Pelodiscus sinensis: one gene and its partner. The protein of the gene in region 1 purifies or fractionates together with the protein of each later gene. This does not show direct contact. Links are inferred from orthologs where the notes say so. Each region holds a gene or a part of one and is shown in the gene's direction. Other genes may lie near its edges. The genes, in order: ARHGEF2 and MARK2.

Evidence for each region.
Region 2: the proteins of ARHGEF2 (region 1) and MARK2 purify together in Homo sapiens (affinity purification with western blotting; 3 studies listed by BioGRID and IntAct, with this or other methods). This does not show direct contact. The link is inferred for Pelodiscus sinensis from reciprocal best matches to the Homo sapiens genes ARHGEF2 and MARK2.

The regions. Positions count from the first base shown.
Region 1 is NC_134734.1:14,731,500-14,741,003, forward strand, and holds the start of ARHGEF2 (rho guanine nucleotide exchange factor 2), read left to right. Parts: upstream 1-5,592; 5' UTR 5,593-5,607; coding exon 5,608-5,629; intron 5,630-7,920; exon of another isoform or gene 7,921-8,035; intron 8,036-9,504. UniProt on the Homo sapiens protein: Activates Rho-GTPases by promoting the exchange of GDP for GTP.
Region 2 is NC_134721.1:33,911,901-33,922,339, reverse strand, and holds the start of MARK2 (serine/threonine-protein kinase MARK2), read left to right. Parts: upstream 1-5,880; 5' UTR 5,881-6,329; coding exon 6,330-6,386; intron 6,387-10,439. UniProt on the Homo sapiens protein: Serine/threonine-protein kinase. Involved in cell polarity and microtubule dynamics regulation. Phosphorylates CRTC2/TORC2, DCX, HDAC7, KIF13B, MAP2, MAP4 and RAB11FIP2. Phosphorylates the microtubule-associated protein MAPT/TAU.

The DNA.
Region 1 (9,504 bases):
ACTTAGGGATACACCCGAGCTCACACCTGAGTAAAACACCCTTTGCGGGCCAGATCCGGCCTGCCAAGCCACCAGATCAGCCTGCAGACACAGTGGTCACCAGATGATCTCAAGCAGATTCCCCTGCTTGCCTCGCCCCCGCAGGCAGCTCAGAAAAGCAGCTGTGGGGCTGTTTCTGCTCCACAAACTGTGAGTCTGGAGGGGAGGGGGGAGAGGTGCCTCATGGCTGCTCCCGCCCCTAGCACAATCCCACTGTCCAGTTTCTGACCAATGGAAGCTGTCCGTTTGGAAAAACAGGCAGCCAATGAAATACCACTCCCCTATCCCCTCCAGTTCTTATTCATAGAGCACATGGCTCTGCAGCCTGTGCAGGGGCAGGGCAGGCTCCTGCCTGAGAAGCAAGCTGGGCTGCTGGCTGGGAATCTCACAGGTAAGTCTCCTGGCCAGAGCCTGCCTCTGGCATCCCAACCTGTTCCTGCCCCTAGCCCTCTGACCCCCCCCCCCCACTCCTACTCCCCTGTCCCACATAAGCTAAACTTTCTGCCCCCCTCCCAGACTCTGCACCCCAGTCCCCTGTCCTAGGTGACCGCCCCCTCCTTCACTAGGTCACAATCCAAACCCCTGCACCACAATCCTGTGACCCAGGTCACAACTGCCTCCTTTACCCAAACTCCCTCCCAGACCTCACTGGCCCTCCTGCACCCCAATCCCTCACCCCAGGGGTGGGCAAGACCGCCTCCGTGGGCCAGATCCAGCACGTCAAGCTGGATGATCCAGCCTGCAGCTGCCCTGCCACTCCCCTGCCCTCAGGCCAATCAAGACCTGGGGACGGGGGAGCTGGTGGTTGTCTCTAGGTCTAGGTGTTGGGGGATGGGAGGGTAAAGACTTCACAGGATCCCCCTGTCCCAGCCGATCAGGGTCTGTAGATGGGGGAGCATGGTAAGATTCCGGGCCCAACCCTTTTGCCCGAGGCCCACCCCTTCCGGAGTAGCCCACAACCACTTCAGAAATTTGTGAAGCGGCCCCACTTCAAAAATGGGTGTTATGGGGAATTTTGCTATTGACTTTAACAGGGTCAGAATTTCGCCACTAGCATTGATTGAAAGAGCTCTCCCCACCTGAAACATTGCAGCTTCCAGACAATAGTACTTCCCATGTTCAAATTCTTGGCATTCCAAAAGCTGCCCAGTAGGTAGCTGGGAGGGTTAGATTTGCCTTGGCAAATGTCAATAGCTGTTGATTTCACCGAACCCAAGGAGGACAAAATATTTCCATCAAGAATATTTGAAATGGACAGCTAGGCAAAGTGAGAAAAATGCTTCTGGGGAGAATTTTACCTTAATCATATTTACCATGCAACCAGCCGTTCTGCGGCACCTGAGAGACTAACAAATCTATTGGATCATGAGCTTCCGTGGGAAAAACCCACTTCCTCAGATACTTAACAGTGTAGTCAATTAACTGATAAGCAAAAACTGATAGGTTAATGCTATAGTATGCACATTTCCCTTCCCTCCCTCTCCTCTCCCCCTCCCCCTGCTGCCCTGCCCCTGACAGGGCTGGATTATCCAATAGGCAGACTAAGCATGTGTTTAGGGCACCAGCAAAGCAGGAGCACCAAAAAAAAAAAAAAGAGAGAGAGAGAGAGATTGTTACGGTATAGTATTGTTTTTATTTTGAATTACATATGGGGAGGCACCATAATCTTTTCAGTGCTTAGGGCCTCTAAAGGGCTTAATCCGGCCCTGCCTGGCTAGTAAACTTTCTTAGCAGGCTGGCCAGCAGCCTGGCTCAGTCCTGGCTTGCAATGGGTCCGGGATCTACCCCTGCTGCAGCTCTGCATTTAAAGTGTATTAGGAGCCGGGCAGGCAGGCAGCCTGGCTCAGTTCAGGCTTGTGCTGAGTCCAGGAGCTCAAACTGCCCTAGACAGGGGCTGCTGCCACTCCGCACTGCTGCCTTTTTGTCCATGGCTGCAGCACGGGGTGACAGGCAGCCGGTCTGTGAGGGGAGCTGGTTTTTAAGCTGTCTCCCCTCTTGAGCCAGCTCCCACTTGGCACCCTGCACTGCTGCCTCGGATACAGAGGCAGCAGCACGGAGTGAAGCCGGAGCCCACTGGCTGCTGGCCCCGCCCCCGGGGACTATAGAATAGTCGAGTAACAGATAAGAATTCATGAGGTTACTCAACTATCCAATTAACCAATATTTAACATCCCTTATTCTTGCTCTGTGTATCTTTAGTGTGTGGTGTTGACAACTTGTGTTTGTCTCAGCATTTGCTGTCATTCAGTCATTGTCTGTCCCTTATCCCCATTAATCCCTGAAACTGTGAAAATTGAAATATCTCAAGATGGGGGGATGCTTAAAACCCATAATTTGGCACAACTCTGAAGATTTGCATTGATAAAAATGACACACTGATATTATTGGTTGGCATACACGTTGAATCCTGCCAAGCCTACCAATAAAATATTTATCACTTGGGTTCTTTTTAAATTCCTTGTCATTTTCTCTCTATAAATCCAAGGGCTACAGAAGAAGGAAGTGCAGGCATCTCCCACATGTTACGAGGCTGTAACTCTCATCACGAGAGTGACAGGAGAGCTTGTAAATGGCCAGTGCAAGGCTGGAACGGTTTCTTCCTGTTCCGTTTGGGAGGCTTTGTTGAAGGTGAATGAGGAAACAGATCACAGCTTAATGTCTAATAGTAATAGAGATGTAGCGGTGTTAGTCTGGTCTTGCTGAAACAAAAGACAAAAAAGTGCTGCATAGTCCTGTCTTTTGTTTCAGCTTAATGTCTGTGCCAGGAAAGATAATGGAGCAGGCAATTAAGGAATTAATCTGTAAACACCTGGAAGATAATAAGGTGATAGGTAACAGCATGGATTTGTAAAGAACAAATCCCGTCAAACCAATCTGATAGCTTTCTTTGATAGGATATCAAGTCTTGTGGAAAAGGGGGAAGCAGTGGACGTGGTATACCCAGACTCTAGTACAGGGAGTCCCCGAGTTACGTGGATCCGACTTATGTCGGATCCCTACATACGAACGGGGCTTTTCTCACCCTGGAGGACGCGGGCGGCGGGACCGCCCAGACGCACCGCGGTCCCACTGCCCGTGTCCTCCGCGGCGAGAAAAGCTGCTCCGCGTCTCCCTGGTCTGCCGGCTTTGCTCCGCGTCTCCCCCAGCAGATTAGGGAGACGCGGAGTGGCTTTTCTCACCTGGTCCGCGGCGAGAAAAGCCTGGTCTGCTGGGAGGGGGGTGCACTAGCTGCGCCCCCCCAGCAGACCAGGGAGACGCGGGCGGCGGGACCGCCGAGACGCGCCGCGGTCCTGCCGCCTGCGTCCTCTGCAGCTTTGATCCGCGTCTCCCTGGTCTGCTGGGGGGGGGGGGCGCAGCTAGTGCGCCCCCCCCAGCAGACTAGGCTTTTCTCGCCGATGCCTGGGGTAGAGCAGCTGGGGTGCTGCCGGGTTGGTCCCGCAGCGCCGCTCCTCGGCGCTACTGGACCAACCCGGCAGCACTCCAGCTGCTCTGCCCCAGGGGTCCCCAAGTCAGCCGCTGCTGAAACTGACCAGCGGCTGACTACAGGAAGCCCAAGGCAGAGCAGCTCTGCCTCGGGCTTCCTGTAGCCAGCCGCTGGTCAGTTTCAACAGCGGCTGAATCTGGACGCCAGTTCCGACTTACATACAAATTCAACTTAAGAACAAACCTATAGTCCCTATATTCTGCGTAACCTGGGGACTGCCTGTAAAGCGTTTCATACGGTTTCACATGACCTTCTTATCAAAATGGTTCACAGTCATGCTGGAAATGCATAGCAGGTGGGGTTCCAAAGGGGTCAGTTTTGGGATAAATTCTGTTCAATATCTTCATCAGTAGTTTAGATACTGGTATAGACAGTATGCTTATAAAGCTTGCAAATGCTACCAAGTTGGGTGTGGTTGCAGGTGCTTTGGAGAATAGGGTCATAATTCAAAATAATCTGGAGAAATGGTCTGAGGTAAATAGCATGAAGTTCAATAAGGACAATTGCAAAGTGCTCCACTTAGGAAGGAGTTCTGCAGAAAGGGAACTTGGGGTCATAGTGGGCCACTAGCTAAATGTGAGTCAACTGTGTGACACTGTTGCAAGAAAAAGCTAACATGATTCTGGGATGCATTAACAGGAGTGTTATGAGAAAGACACGAAAGTCGTTCTTCTGCTCAACTCTGTGCTGATTAGGCCTCAGTTGGAGTATTGTATCCAGTTCTGGGCACCACATTTCAGGAAAGATGTGGAGAAATTGGAGAAGGTCCAGAGAAGAACAACAAAAAAGGATTAATGGTCTAGAAAACGTGGTCTAGGAGGGACGACTGAAAGAACTGGGATTATTTAGTTTGGAAAGGAGAAGACTGAGAGGGGACATGATAGCAACTTTCAGGTACCTAAAAGGATGTTTCAAAGGGGAGGGAGAAAAATTATTCTTCTTAACCTCTGAGGATAGAACAAGAAGCAATGGGCTTAAATTGCAGCAAGGGAGGTTTAGGTTGGACATTAGGAAAAAGTTACTGTCACATGATTAAGTGTTAGCATAAATTGCCTAGGGAGGTTGTGGAATCTCCATCATTGGAGATATTTAAGAACAGGTTGGCCAGACATGTATCAGGGATGATCTAGATGGTGCTTGGTTGGTCCTGCCATGAGTGCAGGGGCCTGGACGTGATCTCTAGAGGTCCCTTCCAGTTCTAGGATTCGGTGGGTGGAAGGGGAGGTATGACCTGCAGTAGTGAGAGGAGGAGGCTGGGAGCCAGGATACTGGTTCTAACTCGACTCCAGAAGGGAAGTGTTGCCTACTGGGCAGAGCAAAGTTAGGGCATGTCTAATTGAAATGGCTCATTTGAACATTCTGAGACTATGGTTAGTTTTCAGACTGGAGTCAGAAAATTGGGGAAGGCTTCTAATTTTAGGCAAGTGATGAGGGCTCCCTTGCAAAGTGAGCGCTGGCGCATAGTGGGTATGAGTCTGTAACCCCCCCCCTCCCCCCGCGCTAGGGTGGCTTGGCTGTTTAGCTCCCACTTTAAACGCTTGCAGGCCCTAGTTTGATCCCTGGTGCCAAGCTGGTGGCCATTCCATGCACACACACACATACTTCCTATCAGCGGTTGTCCAGTTCCTGGGACTTTCTTCCCTGGACCACTGGGTCCCTGTTCATGGGAATCTGGTCCCATTCTAGAGGAGATCTGGAATACAGGGGAATCCCCAGCCTAGTCAGATCCAGCTAGTGTCTCATCTCCAACAGCGACCTATAGTGGCACATGTGGGGAGGGGGGTGTTCTATCCACTCACAATTGGTCCCATCCTGATTTCGAAGAGAACTTGGGCCAGGCTTGGGAGCCGTTGGCTGTTCCAACTCTGGTCCGTAGTCTGAGCCCTTGATGTCTCTCTCCAGCCTCCTAAATCCCTCTTCTCCACCCCTCCCCCACCCCGGGCATTTTTGTGCGTGCGCCTGTTCCTCCCCCTCTCAGCAGCTTTGCTCTCAAGCCTGTTTACATTCCCCAGCCGCACACGCAGTGCCATGCGGGGTAGGACGTGCTTGTCTGAGCTCCCTTCCGAGTCCTGTTCTGAACTAGAATGACTGTCGCTTCTACTAAAGGTACAGGCAGGAGGCACGCAGGGCCGGGCAGGGCCGCGCTGTTCTTAGTTACTTGTTTTGATCAGTTTTAGAAGGAGGCCACGTGGGCTTGGGGGTAGGGTCCTCGGTGGGGAGTTGTGATGTAGCGGGAACTGTATTCACTCTTGCAGTTGCTGAAAGTCACTGTATTCATGCTGTTTGCTTTGTTGGGTCATGTGTGATTCTACTGTCCTATGCTGTTCTGGAGTGATGGTGGGGGGATGTGTGTGTGCGTGTGTGCCTCAGTTTCCCTGGGCAGTTCAACATTGCCTGGAATGGGGGGGGGGGGGGAGCATGACTCACTGAAGAAGTGAATTTGGTCTCACACCTGAGAGCCAGGTGATAGGAGATAACACCTTTGCTGGGGAATCGGAACAAAGGAGGGGGCGGGGCTGCCTAGAAGGCTGAGACCAGTTGCTGGGTGTGTGAGTTTAGTTTTCTGCTGCTGTAGGGAGGAGGGAGTGTAGCTGGCTTGGGGGGCTCTGGGCCCCCTCGTCCCTAAGATGGATTGTACTGAAAGCTCCTGGTTCCTGTAACAAGTCTGCTATGCCGTGTCCCTGTCAACAAATACACCTTCTGTTCTACTTGTTGGCTGAGTCTCACATCTGACTGCGGATGGGGGTGCAGGGCTCGGTAACTACCCCACACTCTGTGACAGGAGTGAAGCTGCATTCCTGGCTCTAGGAGAGGTGTGGGGCCTGCCTGTTAGAGCAGGTGACTTGACGCCAGGACTCTTGTGTTCTGTTTGTGGCAGTGACAGAGAAGTATATGACTGGAAGCCAGGACTCTTGGATTCCCTGCTCTGCCACTGATTTTCCTAGATGACCTTTAGCAAGTCATTTCCTCTCCCTTTGCCTTAATCTCCCCATATGTAGCCCCCCTCCACCTCACTGTCCTCCAACCTAGCCAAAACAATATTTGATCCTCCCCTGGGGGGAGAAGGTGAGAGAGAGAAAAAACCATGGCAGCTAGCTGCTAGGTTGCTTAATTCACTCCTAGAAGGAGCTGACATGCAATTGGGCAGAGGAAGGTACTTGGATTGCAGTCTTTTTGGGGCAGGGGCTGTCATTTCATACAGGGGGTGTCTGTGTTTACAATGGGGTCTCAGGCATGACTGGGGTTCCTAGGTGCTCCAAAAATTAAAATAGTAAGAGAAGGCACAATAACTTCTGTAGAGTCTAATAGAAGAGAGCTGTCTTTCCCCACCCCCACCCCCAAAGAGGATTTGAGGGGAGCTAATTCAGTGCTCTGAGCTCCTCATTTGGTAGTACAATTTCTTTTCGGTCTCTCTCCAGCAGAGCCACCCACCACAATGAATTCCACCGCTTGAGCTAAGAGAGTCGCTCTGCTCCCTGGCAGCAGTAGTAAACCATTATCCTCCATCACAGCAGCCTCCGGATGGGGACACAGCACACATGTAGTCATGCCAGCCCTGCCGGGGGAAGCAAGCCTTGCTTTGCTTTGCAGTCACTGGCCTGATTCTGAGATGGGCACTGGCTTCCTGGAAGGGTTGTCTAGGGAAAGGGAGACTGGCCTGTCCACCCAAGCTGGAATCCTGTTGTCTTGTATACTTCCGCTAGGTTTCCATGGGCTACCGCCCCCTGCCCTCAGCTCCTCGCTGGCTCAGGCCAGCATGCTGAGTGGTGACATAGGCTTTCCCCCAGGGCTCCTAGAGCAGTGTTTCTCCCAGTGGGCTGTGGGCCGGCTTTGGGAAAGCCGCTAGTGGGCCTGCGCTGCTTTGTTTACCTAAATGCTCCGTAGCTCATGGCTCCGGTTCGATGTTTCCAGCCAAAGGGGAGTCCTAGTTCCCTGCTCTAACCACTAAACAATCCACACATCCCAGAGCTGAGGGTAGACCCCAGGAGTCCTGTTTCCAGATCCATCCCCTGTTACACTCCCCTATATTGACAAGAGGGCTAAATTTACCAGGAATCCTGACTCCCAGCCCTCCATTTTGGCCTAAGTCACACTCCCCTTCCAGAGTTGGGACTGGATTCCAGTCTTCCCTCCCCCAAGCTTGAATTGCTAGACGCCTCTTCCTGGGAATGGATGCCAGGTCTCCCTGTCCCACCCCGCCTTTAACCACTAGCTCATACTCCCCTCCCGTTGTTGGCCCATCCCTACATATGGACAATTGGTAACTGGCCTAGGACAATTCAATCAAGAGCTGTCAGCAGCTAACGGGCCGAAGGGGCGGAAAGTTCTTATCAGCTGACAGCGTCTGGGAACTCGAAAACAGGAAAGCGTCTGAGTTCATCCCGTTGGACCGGGGCGGTAGCTAGGAAGTTTGTACAGCAGGGGAGAAACAGGAGCTGGCAGGCTGGCCGCGAGCGCGGAAGGCATCCAAGCAGAGACGGGAACAGGTCTTTCCAACAGCAGGTGCAGAGGGTGAGTCTGGGGCAGCTAGAATGAGGTGGGGCTGATCCCCCAGAGAGGTGAATGCACAGTAGGGCCTGGGGCGGGATGGGCCTGCTTTGGCACTTTGGTTCTTTGATTGGGGATGAGCAGGGCTGGTAGGCATGGCGCTGAAGCTGGGCAGCATGATCTAGTGGAGAGGGAATTGGGCCGAGTCTCAGCAAGGCTGGGTTCTATTCCTGGCGCTGCCACTGACCTGCTGCTTGACCTTGGGCAAGTCACTTCCCCTCTCTGCGCCACAGTTTCCATCTTGCCCTGTCTGTTTTAGATTGGCCCCAATTGGAACAGCTTACAATATTTCCTCTAATCTTTTCCATGTGCAGAATATTTTTTTATTTGCACCAAGGCATGTGCAAATGTGCACCACCAATAGAAACAAAAAGCTTAACTGTGCGCACTCTGCTAATTGGCTGGGCAGCATTTGAATCTCTCCCGAGCGGCTGCACAAGTGCCCAGCTGCCTGGGATTTCAATTCTTGGCTCTGCCACAGGCTCTTTGTGCAACCCTGGGCAAATCACTTAGTTTATGTCTAGTGAGTGGATGTGATTTCTGCTTGAGGCATCGTAGTCCAGCTTGCTCCGGTCCCAGAACAGTGAAGTGGTGACCAGCACCTGCAGTCTAGACACATACCTTTAATCCTTCTGGGTCTTGTCAGGGCTGTTCCCCACTTTGGCACTCCAAGTGAAGAAGGTGGGGGCCTGCAAGGGATCTTAAATACCTTGCCCCTATAGGCTTCTGCTTTAAAAAAACCCCAAACTCCCTAAGGTTACAGATTTCCTGGCCTTGAGAAAGAGGCTGCCACCATCAAGTGAATTAAGAAAAATCCTGAAAACCAGGAAGAAACACTTGAACTTCTTCCCAAGAGGTACCCCCGAGCTCTTTTGCCACAAGATAACTTGAAAAAATAAACAAAAAAACACAGAAAACAAACTGTCTCTCTGATAGCTGACCCCTCGGGCTAGGCAGGCGCACACAAAGACCTTCTGTTACTTTCCAGACACAAGAATCAAATCATTGCATTAAAAAGGTGATTTTATTAATAAAACAAAAAGGTAGACTTGATAAAGTGCACTTGGTTGCTAGGTGTTTTATAGAGCAACAAAGAAAAGAACAGATCAAACCACAAAGAAACATAGTCCTTTGAGCTGTAGCTTGGATATGGGGAAAGGAAGTTCACCCAGAAAGTTTAACTAAACTACAAAATAAAAAAAAACAAAACCCCTGGTTGTGATTAAATATATATTCTTCTATCTACTCATGATCCATACTGATCTGTACTTCAAGGCCCCGTCTATTCCCGTACCCAATTTTTCTTGTAAGCATGGTCTTTCTGTTTGATTACTTCATCTTGTTTCCTCCAGCTGCTAATTTAGAACTCACACAAAGGAAGAGCAACCAAGTATCTCTATTCAATTTACATTTCAACTGTCTTTCCGCCAACA
Region 2 (10,439 bases), on another chromosome or scaffold:
TGCAACCTGTTGGGGGGCAACCGAGTGATGGGGCTGGTCACTGGAGCCAGCGCTGCCCCATACGCAGCAGGCAGCTGTGTAAGAACCACACAATGTAAGGCAATGTGGTGCCCCAAATTTCATGGAGCCCTATGCAGCTGTGTATTTTGCATCCAGGTGGGGGCAGCCTTGCTGGCCTCCCATCCACTCGTCCAGTGCATCCTTGGGCACTGGGTGCCTGGGAACTTGCACACTCCTGGTCGTCCTCTTATGCATTGCACCCCATGGCACCCTCCTGTATTGCATGGATGCAATTGAGTGAATTAGTGTGTCCACTCATCCCTCCTGCAGCCTGTACTTAGAGCCCCCTGTGGATAGGATGGCTGGGATTGGGGGGGAGTCACTGGGAGAAGAGCATAAAACTGAAAATCCTAATTTCCCCACCTGGCTGTACCAGCCCAGCCCTGCAGATACCCCTAAATCCCAGCCCACCTTGGCCGTGGCTTCTTGGGGGAAAGTTGTGGGGTGCATATGGACGTTCTGTTTGTGTTTCCTGGGGGGGCTCATATTTGGGGGGGGATCTTATTCAGTCTGTGGGGGATGGCCTGGGGCTTCTCTGTATCCCACCCAGGGCCCATGGAGTTCTCTGCAGTGGGGCAGTAGGAGGCAAGGCCCTCTCCTGAGCAGTAACAATTGGCCTGTTCCTCCCCCTCCCCTTTGACTTTTGTCTTCCCTGCTGCCATCTGGGGGGATGCCCCTGCTGGTTAGGAGCTGGCACTGCATCCCTGCTGCTGGGAGTGTGCTTCCATGCAGAGGGGAAGGAGGATCCTGTTCACAGGTGACTCTGGCATCCTGACGATTCTGGGACCCAGTGGGCAGGGGGATTATGGGCGTTTGGCCCTTTTTCTCTTGCTACAGTCCCAGGCTGGTGTCAATCCTCTACAGCACAACGGGGCCCAGAAGAATCCCAAGGGCTCCCTCCACTCAAAAGGCAACAGGGCCTGGGAACAGCCTTGGGGAGGTGCCTCCACCCATAATACATGGGGCTGGGAGCAACTATAGGGGTTGCCCCTGCCCATAATACACTGGGGCATATGAACCCTACCCTTGACCACAGGGGTTGCATCCCTCACCTCCCTGGGAGGGAGGGGGTTAGGATGCAGACGTAGTAGGGGGTAACAGGGCCAAGGAAAGTGGTCTAGGGGACATAGGACTAGGGGGATCAGTGGGGAACACATTAGAGAGGAACTCATTGGAGAAGAAAGGGCCTGGGGAACACAGGCCTTGGGACTCAGAGGGAGCTGGTGGGGAACGGGTTTGGGGTCACAGGATTGAGGGGGTTTCAGACGGGTCTGGAGGGGAAAGGGATTTGGAGGGCACAGATTTGGGGGATTCAGAGGGGACTGGAGGGAAAGGGGTCTGAGGGCATAGAACTGGGGGGGAGGGCTCAGAGAAGGCTGGAAGGCCCAGAGGGGGCTGGTGGGGAAGGAGTCTGTGGTTACAGAATTATGAGGGCTCAGAGGGGGCTGGAGGGCTCAGAATAGGATGGAGGGGGAGAGGTCTGGGGGCACAGAACTGGGGGGACTCAGAGGGAGCTGGAGGGAAGTGGTCTGGGGGGCACAGGACTGGGGGGCTTGATGGGGCTAGAGTAGAGGGGGTCCAAGGCATACAAGACTGGGGATGGGACAAAGGACCCAGAGGGGGGACAGCATGTGTGGTGCCTCTAATGATCCCCAGGGCCATGCCAGCCGGTGGTGGGAGTGTCTTGCTCCTTCCTGCCTTGGCTTTAGACATTGATTTGCTCTGGTTCTCCACCGGGAGCAGGGCTCCTTCTTATGGTCCCTACAAAACCCTCTCCCAGTGCACAAAAACTCCCCCCCCATTGGTGTTCAGCACCACCCTCTGCAGCAGGGAAAGCTGAGTCTCCCTCAGTCCAGCAGCCAGAGAAGGGACAGAACAAGAAAGAGTTAACAGCAGAGCAGCTTCCTCCCTCCTCCATCTGACCATGTGACTGCGCCACTAGCACCTCCCTCTTGCCGCGATGGGGCTACATAGTTGGAAACTCCTACTCTAAGGCAGAGCTGGGGTGGGGGTGGGGGAATCCTGACTCACAGCCCCCCTCCAGCCAGCAGGCTTCCTTCCTTTCCTGCCTCCTCTCCCCAGCCTCTAGGTTTCCTTCTGTCCCCCCTCTTTGGCTTTCCCTCCAGCCTGCTGACTGTCTTCTGCTGCCCGCTCCAGCCCTTGAGGTGCCTTTTGCTGCAAGGACCATTCTCTCCATGGCCGTCATAAATCATCCACGGCAAACACTCCAGAGCCCAGCCCCTGGTTCCTGAGGAAGCCCCAACAAATCAGGAGAACAACGAACTACTGGCTGGCCAGCCTGCAATTGATCCCCCAGGGAACCTAGGACTAGTTCCTTTGCGATCTGCTTTTCCCCAGTTCCCTTCAATTTTGATTGGAAGGTGTTTCTGCTGGACAGCAACCTTGCCCCTGTTGGCAGCTGAGTGGCGCAGTCTCCTGCCCCCATATTGCACATTCTTTGCTCCCTTGGAAGCCACAAGGGATGAGGGACCATATTTTTCTGCACCTCCTGGCTGCTATGGGGCATTCCTTATCCCTGGCATCAACCCCAGGACTCAGGGGTTTGAGACAGGAGTAGAAAGCCAAAGTAACCTCCTTCCAAGCAGGTCAGGCTGGCTCAACAAGCCCTAGCTGCTATTAAACACAGGCTGCTCTGAGTCAACACTCTTGGGTCCAAGCTCTGGCTCTCCCTTTGCCTCTAGGTTTGCAAACCATGGCCCTGGGGAATAATGGGACCCAGTGAGTAGGGCACTGGGTTGGAACTCAGGATGCTTGGGAATTGTTCCCAGCTCTGCCACTGACCTTGGGGAAAGGGCCTTCTCGTCTCTGGGCCTGCATATCTCCCCCCAACCTTTGTTTAGATTTTAAGCTCTTAGGGGCCCACGCTGCCTTTCCTATAGTGCTGTGATTTCAGCTGGGGGGGAGGTTGTGTCTATGCAGCCTATGGCACAATGGAGACCCTGATCTTGGTCAGTTTGTGAAGCCACAACACAATGGGGTCTTGATCTTGGTCCAGACGATCGTGGATACACAGAACAACAATAAAGCTGCACAAAGTAGTTCCCCACTGCGTGATTCTGGACGGACATTCAAGAGCGGCATGAAGCTCTGTTCATGACTGGGGCCCTCCAGTGGTAGGCTGAAAATTTTGCTTGGTGTGCTACATATGCAATCTGGCTAGGGATCCCTGGGGAACTGGCCTCATCAGCAGTCCCTCCTTGCTGATGTAGTGCTGTGTGCCAAGCTGCTAAGCAGAGAGGCAGTGTGTAGCTCTGCTGCAGTGTGCAATGTGTCATGGTGTGTTTGAACACAACAGTTTTGATAATCCTCCTGGTGTTGCACTGCACTGGAGGCCTGACTTGCTTCTTTGCTAGCTCACTATGCCCTAGCTCTCTGACTGGAATCTCTACCTCTTTACAGGATATTTGGTTCTGGGGGAAGATCAACAGAGACCCAGATTTGGGAACAATTCACAAATGCAAGCATCAGCCAGTCCCACTTGGTGGTGCTAATGTTGGCTACATGATATATGAGCATCCTCTAGTACAGTGTTTCTCAAACTGTGGTTGCATGGACCAGCATTAGACTTGCTGGGAACCAGGGCTGAAGCTGAAGCACATGCTCCACCCCACCCAGGACAGTGGGGCTTGGACTGTGGACCCCTTTCCTCCCACCCAGGGTGGTGGGATTCAGGCTCCAACCTCTCCCCCCCGGATCATGCATTAACTTTATTGTCAGAAGGGGGCTTGTGATGCAATAAGAACCCCTGCTCTAGTGTGTATGTGGATGCAGAGATATTGCACAAGTGTGTGCATGTAGGTGTGAGTATGTGCATGCAGCTGAGACTCTGGGAAGGTATGTGGATGTGTTTGCACATCAACATTGCACAGGTGTGTGTAGGCAGCTGTGACTCAGGGTAGGAGTGCTTGAGTGTGTGCACATGGCTGTGCAAGCAGATGTGTATTTTTGTGTGTGCACAAATTTACATGAGCATGCATGCAACTATAGGTGTATGCATGCAGCTGCAGATGTGTCCATGTGCATGAAGCTATGGATGCATCTGCATGTCATTGTGGGTGGGTATCTGTAGCTGTTGGAGTATTCCCGTATGTCAGGGGTGGGGAACTTTTTTTGGGTCTGGTGCCATGTGACCCATAGAAAAATCAGTCAAGGGCCACACACAAAACACACACACTGAAGCGGCTGATTGAGGAGAAAGACACTCCCTACATTGCCCTTGCACACCAGAGCCTGGCGGGCCCAGCCTAGTAGATTTTGTGTTCTCCAGCCCTGTGGTTGGGCAGTGGAGGGAGAGGGGGCACTGGAGCACCAGCACAGGCTCCCCAGTGCAGGGGAGTCCCTGAATCTCGGAGTCCGGATCCGGGCAAGCCGGGGTCCACATCTGATCCCTGGGCCTGAGGTTCCCCACCCGTACTGTATGTGATTGCCACTATGGGCCTGTACCAATGTGAGTGTGCATGATTGTACATGCAGCAGTGAGCATCTGTGGATATGCAGATGTTTGTGTGTGCAGCCCAGCCAGGAAGTGTGTGAAAGAGGCAGTGGGGACCCAGATTGTCTGTGTGTGTGCACTGCATGCAGCTGTGGCCATGTGCAAGCCATGCGAGGGCTCCCCCTGCCAATTCCTGGAGCTCGTACACTCCGGCTCCGGCTAACTGGGGCGCTGCACGTCGTCAGCAGCAGTCAGCTCCCATCGCATCTCCAGGACGCTGCAGTGGGTGCTAAGCGCCAGCTGCGTCAGCCTTTGCTGCCGGCCGGCACCAACTGCAGTTCCACCGCTTCACAGCAGGTGGCGCCGCTAGCGCACATCAGCCCGTGGGGCTGGGTGACGAGGCTTGGCAGTAGCAACCGGGAGAAGGCGGGGTCTCGTCGCTTCGGAACGTCACTGCGCGCGCGGGGGAGGAGGGCGGTTGGGTAGCGCCAGCCCCCATGCACGGAAGAGACCACTGGGAGCGGGGGGGGGGAACCCTGTGCTGTAGGTGGGTGAGGCAGGGACGCGCGGGGGGAGGGGCGTTACGGGTGAGTCTTGCGTCTCCAGGGGGCGCATGAAGCGCAGGTGCAGATGGGAGTGCGAGTGCGAGGACCTCTCCGGCTGGGCACGGGCACTTGCAGGCCTAGGCCGTGTGTCTATGCAGCTGCACTTGCAGGTGTGTGTGTGACGCGCCCAGGTGTACACACACACTTGTGCATGTTTGCACGATGCGGTGTGTACGTGAGCGCATAGCGACTCAATCCGTTGTGTGCCGGGTGTGCATCCTTGTGCGCCCATTTACCCAAATGGCTGATTTAATCTTCCTCCTCTTTAGCCTGGCTCCCCTCCGCACGGGAGAATAAGCCCCCTCGGGGGCTCGCGCAAACCACATTTGCGGAAATAGCCGAGGCTAGTCGGCTCCTCCTGTTTTCGCCCCCGGGCTCGGTTATTCGCCTTGGAAAGGCGGAAAGAGTCGAAACCTCTTCGGCTTGTTCGTTGGTTTCCGGAAATTGCCGAAAAGAGCGTCAGCAAGGGGGCGGGGAATATTCCGGAAACTGCCGATCTTCAGCCTTCGGTTACTCTCGGGCGCTCATCCGGAAGTGTCCGATTGCTGTCCCGAAGGCGAACTTCGGGTTTATCCGGAAGGAGGCGAAGTGACCGATCGCGAAAGGGGCCGCGCCTGCTGTTTCGGATGTTTCCGGAAGGAGGCGCGAACTGGCGATGACAGGGAGGGTGAATCGAGAGTTTCCGTCAGACGGCGGAAGCTGCCGAGAAGGGGTTGGGGGCTGGGGTTTCCGGAACCGGCGGAAACTGGCTCCGACGAGCGGCTCGGATGTTTCCGGAAGGGGGCGGAAATGGCCGAAGGCCGGTGGCGGCGGCCATGTTGGGATCTGCTGCCGCTGCTGCTGTGTGAATGTGAGATGCGCTGAGGGGAGCCGGGTCTCGGGGCGGAGAAGGCGGCTCGGCCAGGGGCACTCGGCCTCCGGGTCTCCTCAGCCCCGGCTCTGTGCAGCCTTCGCTCACGCGTACGCCTGGCTGCCGGCGGCGCGGCCTGGTCCCTGCGCCTCATCCCCGGGTTCGCCTGAGCCGCCGGGCCGGGCTTCCCTCATCGCGGCCCGGCGGAGACCCATGTCCGAGTCCCGGCGGTTTCCGGCTCCCTGAATCCCCCCTCCCCCTTTGGGCTCCCCCATGGTGGTGGCCTGGCCGCCCCCCCCGGTGTGAGGAGAGCCCCAGGAACCGCCGGAGCCCCAGGAGCCGCTGGCCAAGGGGGCCCAAGATGTCGAGCAGCGGCCGGAGCCCCCTCCCCACCGTGAATGAGAGAGACACGGAACAGGTAGGGGGCTGGGGGGCCCCTAACCCGAGGGAGGGAGGGAGCGAGGCAGGGAGGGCGGGATGCCGTATTTTGCTGAGGGAAGGGAATGCAGGGGGGCAGGAGAGGGGTTCCCTGCTCCGGGTGGGGGGAGATAGAGCAAGCATTGACTATAGGGTGGGTAATACCCCATGCCCTGCAGCTCCCCATCCTGTGCTTCTAATGGTTAAGTGAGGGGTGGGAACCTCCTTCTTCATAGATCGATATGCATCCTTCTTGAGTCCTTAAGGGTCCATCTGGTCTTCCCTGTGATGGGGCATGTGGAGCAGGAAGGCAGGAGAGGAGATTCCTACAGAATCCCCTGTGTATGTATACGTATCTTCCACCTAGTAAGTCCCTTCATGCCTCCCAAACTCTGTGGTCTATAGTGTACCTACTGGAGATAGTGCAGATCAGGGAAGAGATTATATGTATTCCCACATACCCAGTACTTCATCACTAACTGCTGTCAATGGAGAATGAGATATTGAGACAAATAAGGGAGAGACTACTATGTATCTGCTCTGTGCACAGAGCTACAGATCCCCTGTGTATCTTCCCTCAAAGTGGATGCAGGGACACTTGGAACCCTGTAATGATTCCCTGGTGAAAGAGAGGCATGCGGCAGGATGATACAAATAAATATCTATATAGTTCTTATTCCCATAGGCTGAGTGGTCCATGCAGGAGTGGCTGTAATCCACTTCTGTGCATTAATGCTCCACTTTCAATCTCCCTGAAATGGGAAGAAGAGAGCAGTGGATTGATTTATTCCCTGTGGCATGCATGAGCAATTGGGAGCAGGGATCTTTTCCATCTTTCCTTCCCCTCCCATATATTAATTGCCTCATCAGCCCATGCTGAATGATGGGGGTTTTGAATGGGCAAGGGAAATGGCCCCCTGCTCTGCCTCTCTTTGCCTTTTCTGCTGCTCCATATCACATCAGGTCCTTCCTTGGCTTTCATAGTGAAGGAAGATCCCACTTCCATGCTCACTCATTATTCCCCTATGCCCTTATTAGGTTTACCTCTCAAGTGCCTCATTCATTTGCAGCTCAAGATGCCTGGTGACATGGTGGTGGTTTGCTTTTTCAGGGGTGCATTTGTGAGAGATGACAACTAGTGAGCAAATTGCATTCCCAACTGAATTTAAGAAACAGCTCATAAAGACACACAAATCTAACCTGTTTTAATCCTCATGACCCTTGTGAGTCGAGACCTGCTGTAGACATGAACTTCCCATAGTCAGTAATTTTTTTTTAGGTGATTTGTGGAGAAAAGAAGGGACTGGCTGTGCAGCCAGGATCTCTCTGGCTGTTGTGTTTAGCTGCATAAGGTAATCAAAACATGGTTTTGGACTTTATTTGTAAAGAGTATTTCACTTGCACTAACAGCCTTCCTTCCATGAAGTCTGATTCATTCTAAGTGGTTGATGCCATATGCTACTTAGTCTCCTCCTTATCTTTGTCCAAAGCAAAGGTATTTTAAAAATGGGCTTCACTCCCAGTCTTGAGATGGCTATGTAGTTTAGGGATGTTAAATATTGGTTAACTGAATAGTCAAGTAACCTCATGAATTCTTATTGATTACTCGACTATTCTATAGTCCTGGGGGGAGGCGGGGGGCAGGTGCCAAGTGGGTGCTGGTCTGTGAGGGGAACCAGTTTAAAAACCAACTTCTCTTGTGGACCAGCTGTTTGTTGCCCTGTGCTGCTGCCTCTAATATAGGGGAGGCAGCAGCCCCTGTCCATGGTGGGAAGAGGTCTGAGCTCCTGGACTCATTGTGAGCCAGAACTGAGCCAAGCTGCCTGCCCACCTACCTCCTAATAATACACTTTAAATGCAGAGCTACAGTGGGGGTAGGTCTCATACCTGTCACGAGCCAGGACTGAGACAGGCTGCTCACCATACTGCTAACAAATTTACTGCCCAGCGGAGGGAATGCATGTAGTCTGTAGCATTAACCTATAAGCTTTTTCTTATTGGTTAATCAACTACACTATTGCATCCCTAATGTGGTTGTATCCCCATTACTAATGAAGCTTGAGGAGGTGTGGAATTGTGTATGTACGCTTGTGTATTGTGTGGCTAAGAGGGCCCTAGCTGCCCTTTGACCACTAATGTATGCTTTATGTTGGTGAAGTTGGTCCTGGTTTCAAAACATGCCCTGGTGCTTCTTAGAATTAATAGAATTTTCTTCTCTGGTACCTTTAAACAAGCAGGAATACAGCTTCAGAATGGGGATCAGCTCCCTCTGTTTCTATTAACTGGTCTCATTTCATCTGGCGTTCTTAACAGTTTCTTCAAAATAACTAAATTTGGCTGACATTTAAGCACAATTGATCTAAAGCTGTTTCCATGATCTCTCTTCAGCTGCCTTAACTTTAAATTGCTAAAGCATAAAAATAAAGCTTCTGCTTCCCTTATCCCTGTATGAATGGCTGGATAATGAGAATTCAGATCTCAGACTGACACTTCAGACCGGCTGTCAATGATTTAGGCTTCTTTAGCTGTGTCCTTCCCTGTTTTCTTTGTGGGTGGAGGGTTGCAAGTAGATTATTATGGTGCATAATAAAGGCAAAAGCAGAACATAATTCAGAGCCAAGATTTCAGTCATCTTCTTCCGTTAAAACTAGAGGTCTGGAGAGTTGGCAGGAATCTGAATGATCAATAATATAAGAATTTATCTTTGTGGCAGTGTTAAGAGGGAATTGTGGAGATGTCAGAGAACTGAAACCAAGGAAGGCAAACTATAGTGCATCTCCATCTCTTGTTGCTTTTTCACTTTGGGGTCATCTTGTGTTTTTAAGAAGATAACAGCATCAGAGGCAGGGTAGGGGGCTTGTACAGAATCCTTTTCCACACAGCTCTACCAACTTAGCTAAATCCTGACTAGGATGTAAAATCCTGTTTAATTTTCAAACGCAGCATTAACACTATGTTTAACTGGTTAACTGATTAAAAAAGGAGTAGGGAGAAGCAGAGGTTGAAATCCTTTTCCTCCTCCCCCGCAGGCAGGAGCTGCTCCGGCTGAGCTGGGAGCAGCTCACCTTTAAAGGTGATGGTTAACTGTAACCAGTTAACTGTTCACATCCCTAGTCCTGACATCCCTAGTCCTGACATTTCCACCCTTGGTTTGTTTTGACCAGAGAGCTATTAACCATCCTAAACTGATCATCTAAACTGAAGAGCAAAACTTTGCCAAAGTTCTCTTTGTTGTGTGGTAGTGGCTTTTCATGATCAAAACTGAGGTGTGCCTTGTCTAAAAAACTGTTTCTAGTGGAAAATGTAGCTTGAGAACCTCTTGCTTTCAAGGTAGAGTCAACTATTTTGAGGTTAAAAACAGGAAGTGTTGTAATTTCTCTTATCTAGAACATTGCAGATGACTGTTTCAGGCATCTGGACCATCAAAACTGATGTATATTTCATCATTGAGTAAAAGCTTAACAGGTTGAACTTCTCTAGTCTGGCACTCTCTGGTCCGGTAACTTCCGTGGTCCGGCATGATTTTAGTTAGCTGGTTCTCCACTTATTATGGGTGTGGCCAAGTTTCCTGTAGTCACATGAAGTTTGTGTTCAGCTACCAGTCCTGGCTCTCAGTGTTCTGTGCAGTTATTTAGCTCTAATTTACCCCAAATGCCTTCTGAGAATCCAGTAAGCAGTGGAAATGTTGGTCATGCAGCTAGACAATATTGTCCTCCCGTAATCCAGAAAATTCTCTGGTTTGGCACCAATCATGTCCTGAGGATGCTGGACAAGAGAGGTTCAACATATACAGGTACCAACTTAGTATCAAACTGTTTCCTCTAACACAAAACTCCCTTTTCGCAGCGTCTTTGCCCATTCTAACCCCTTCCAACAGATTTGTCTATTCTTCTCAATTATCCAAATGCTTTTGCTATCCCAGAAATATTTCCAGTAAACAGGGGTTGTATTGTATTACCTTGTTTGGCCAGGCTGTTTTTACTTGGTGAAATCGTATATGTCTCTCAACCTTCCCCATTGTACCCTCTAGCAGAGGGTGCCCTATTTCAGTAGT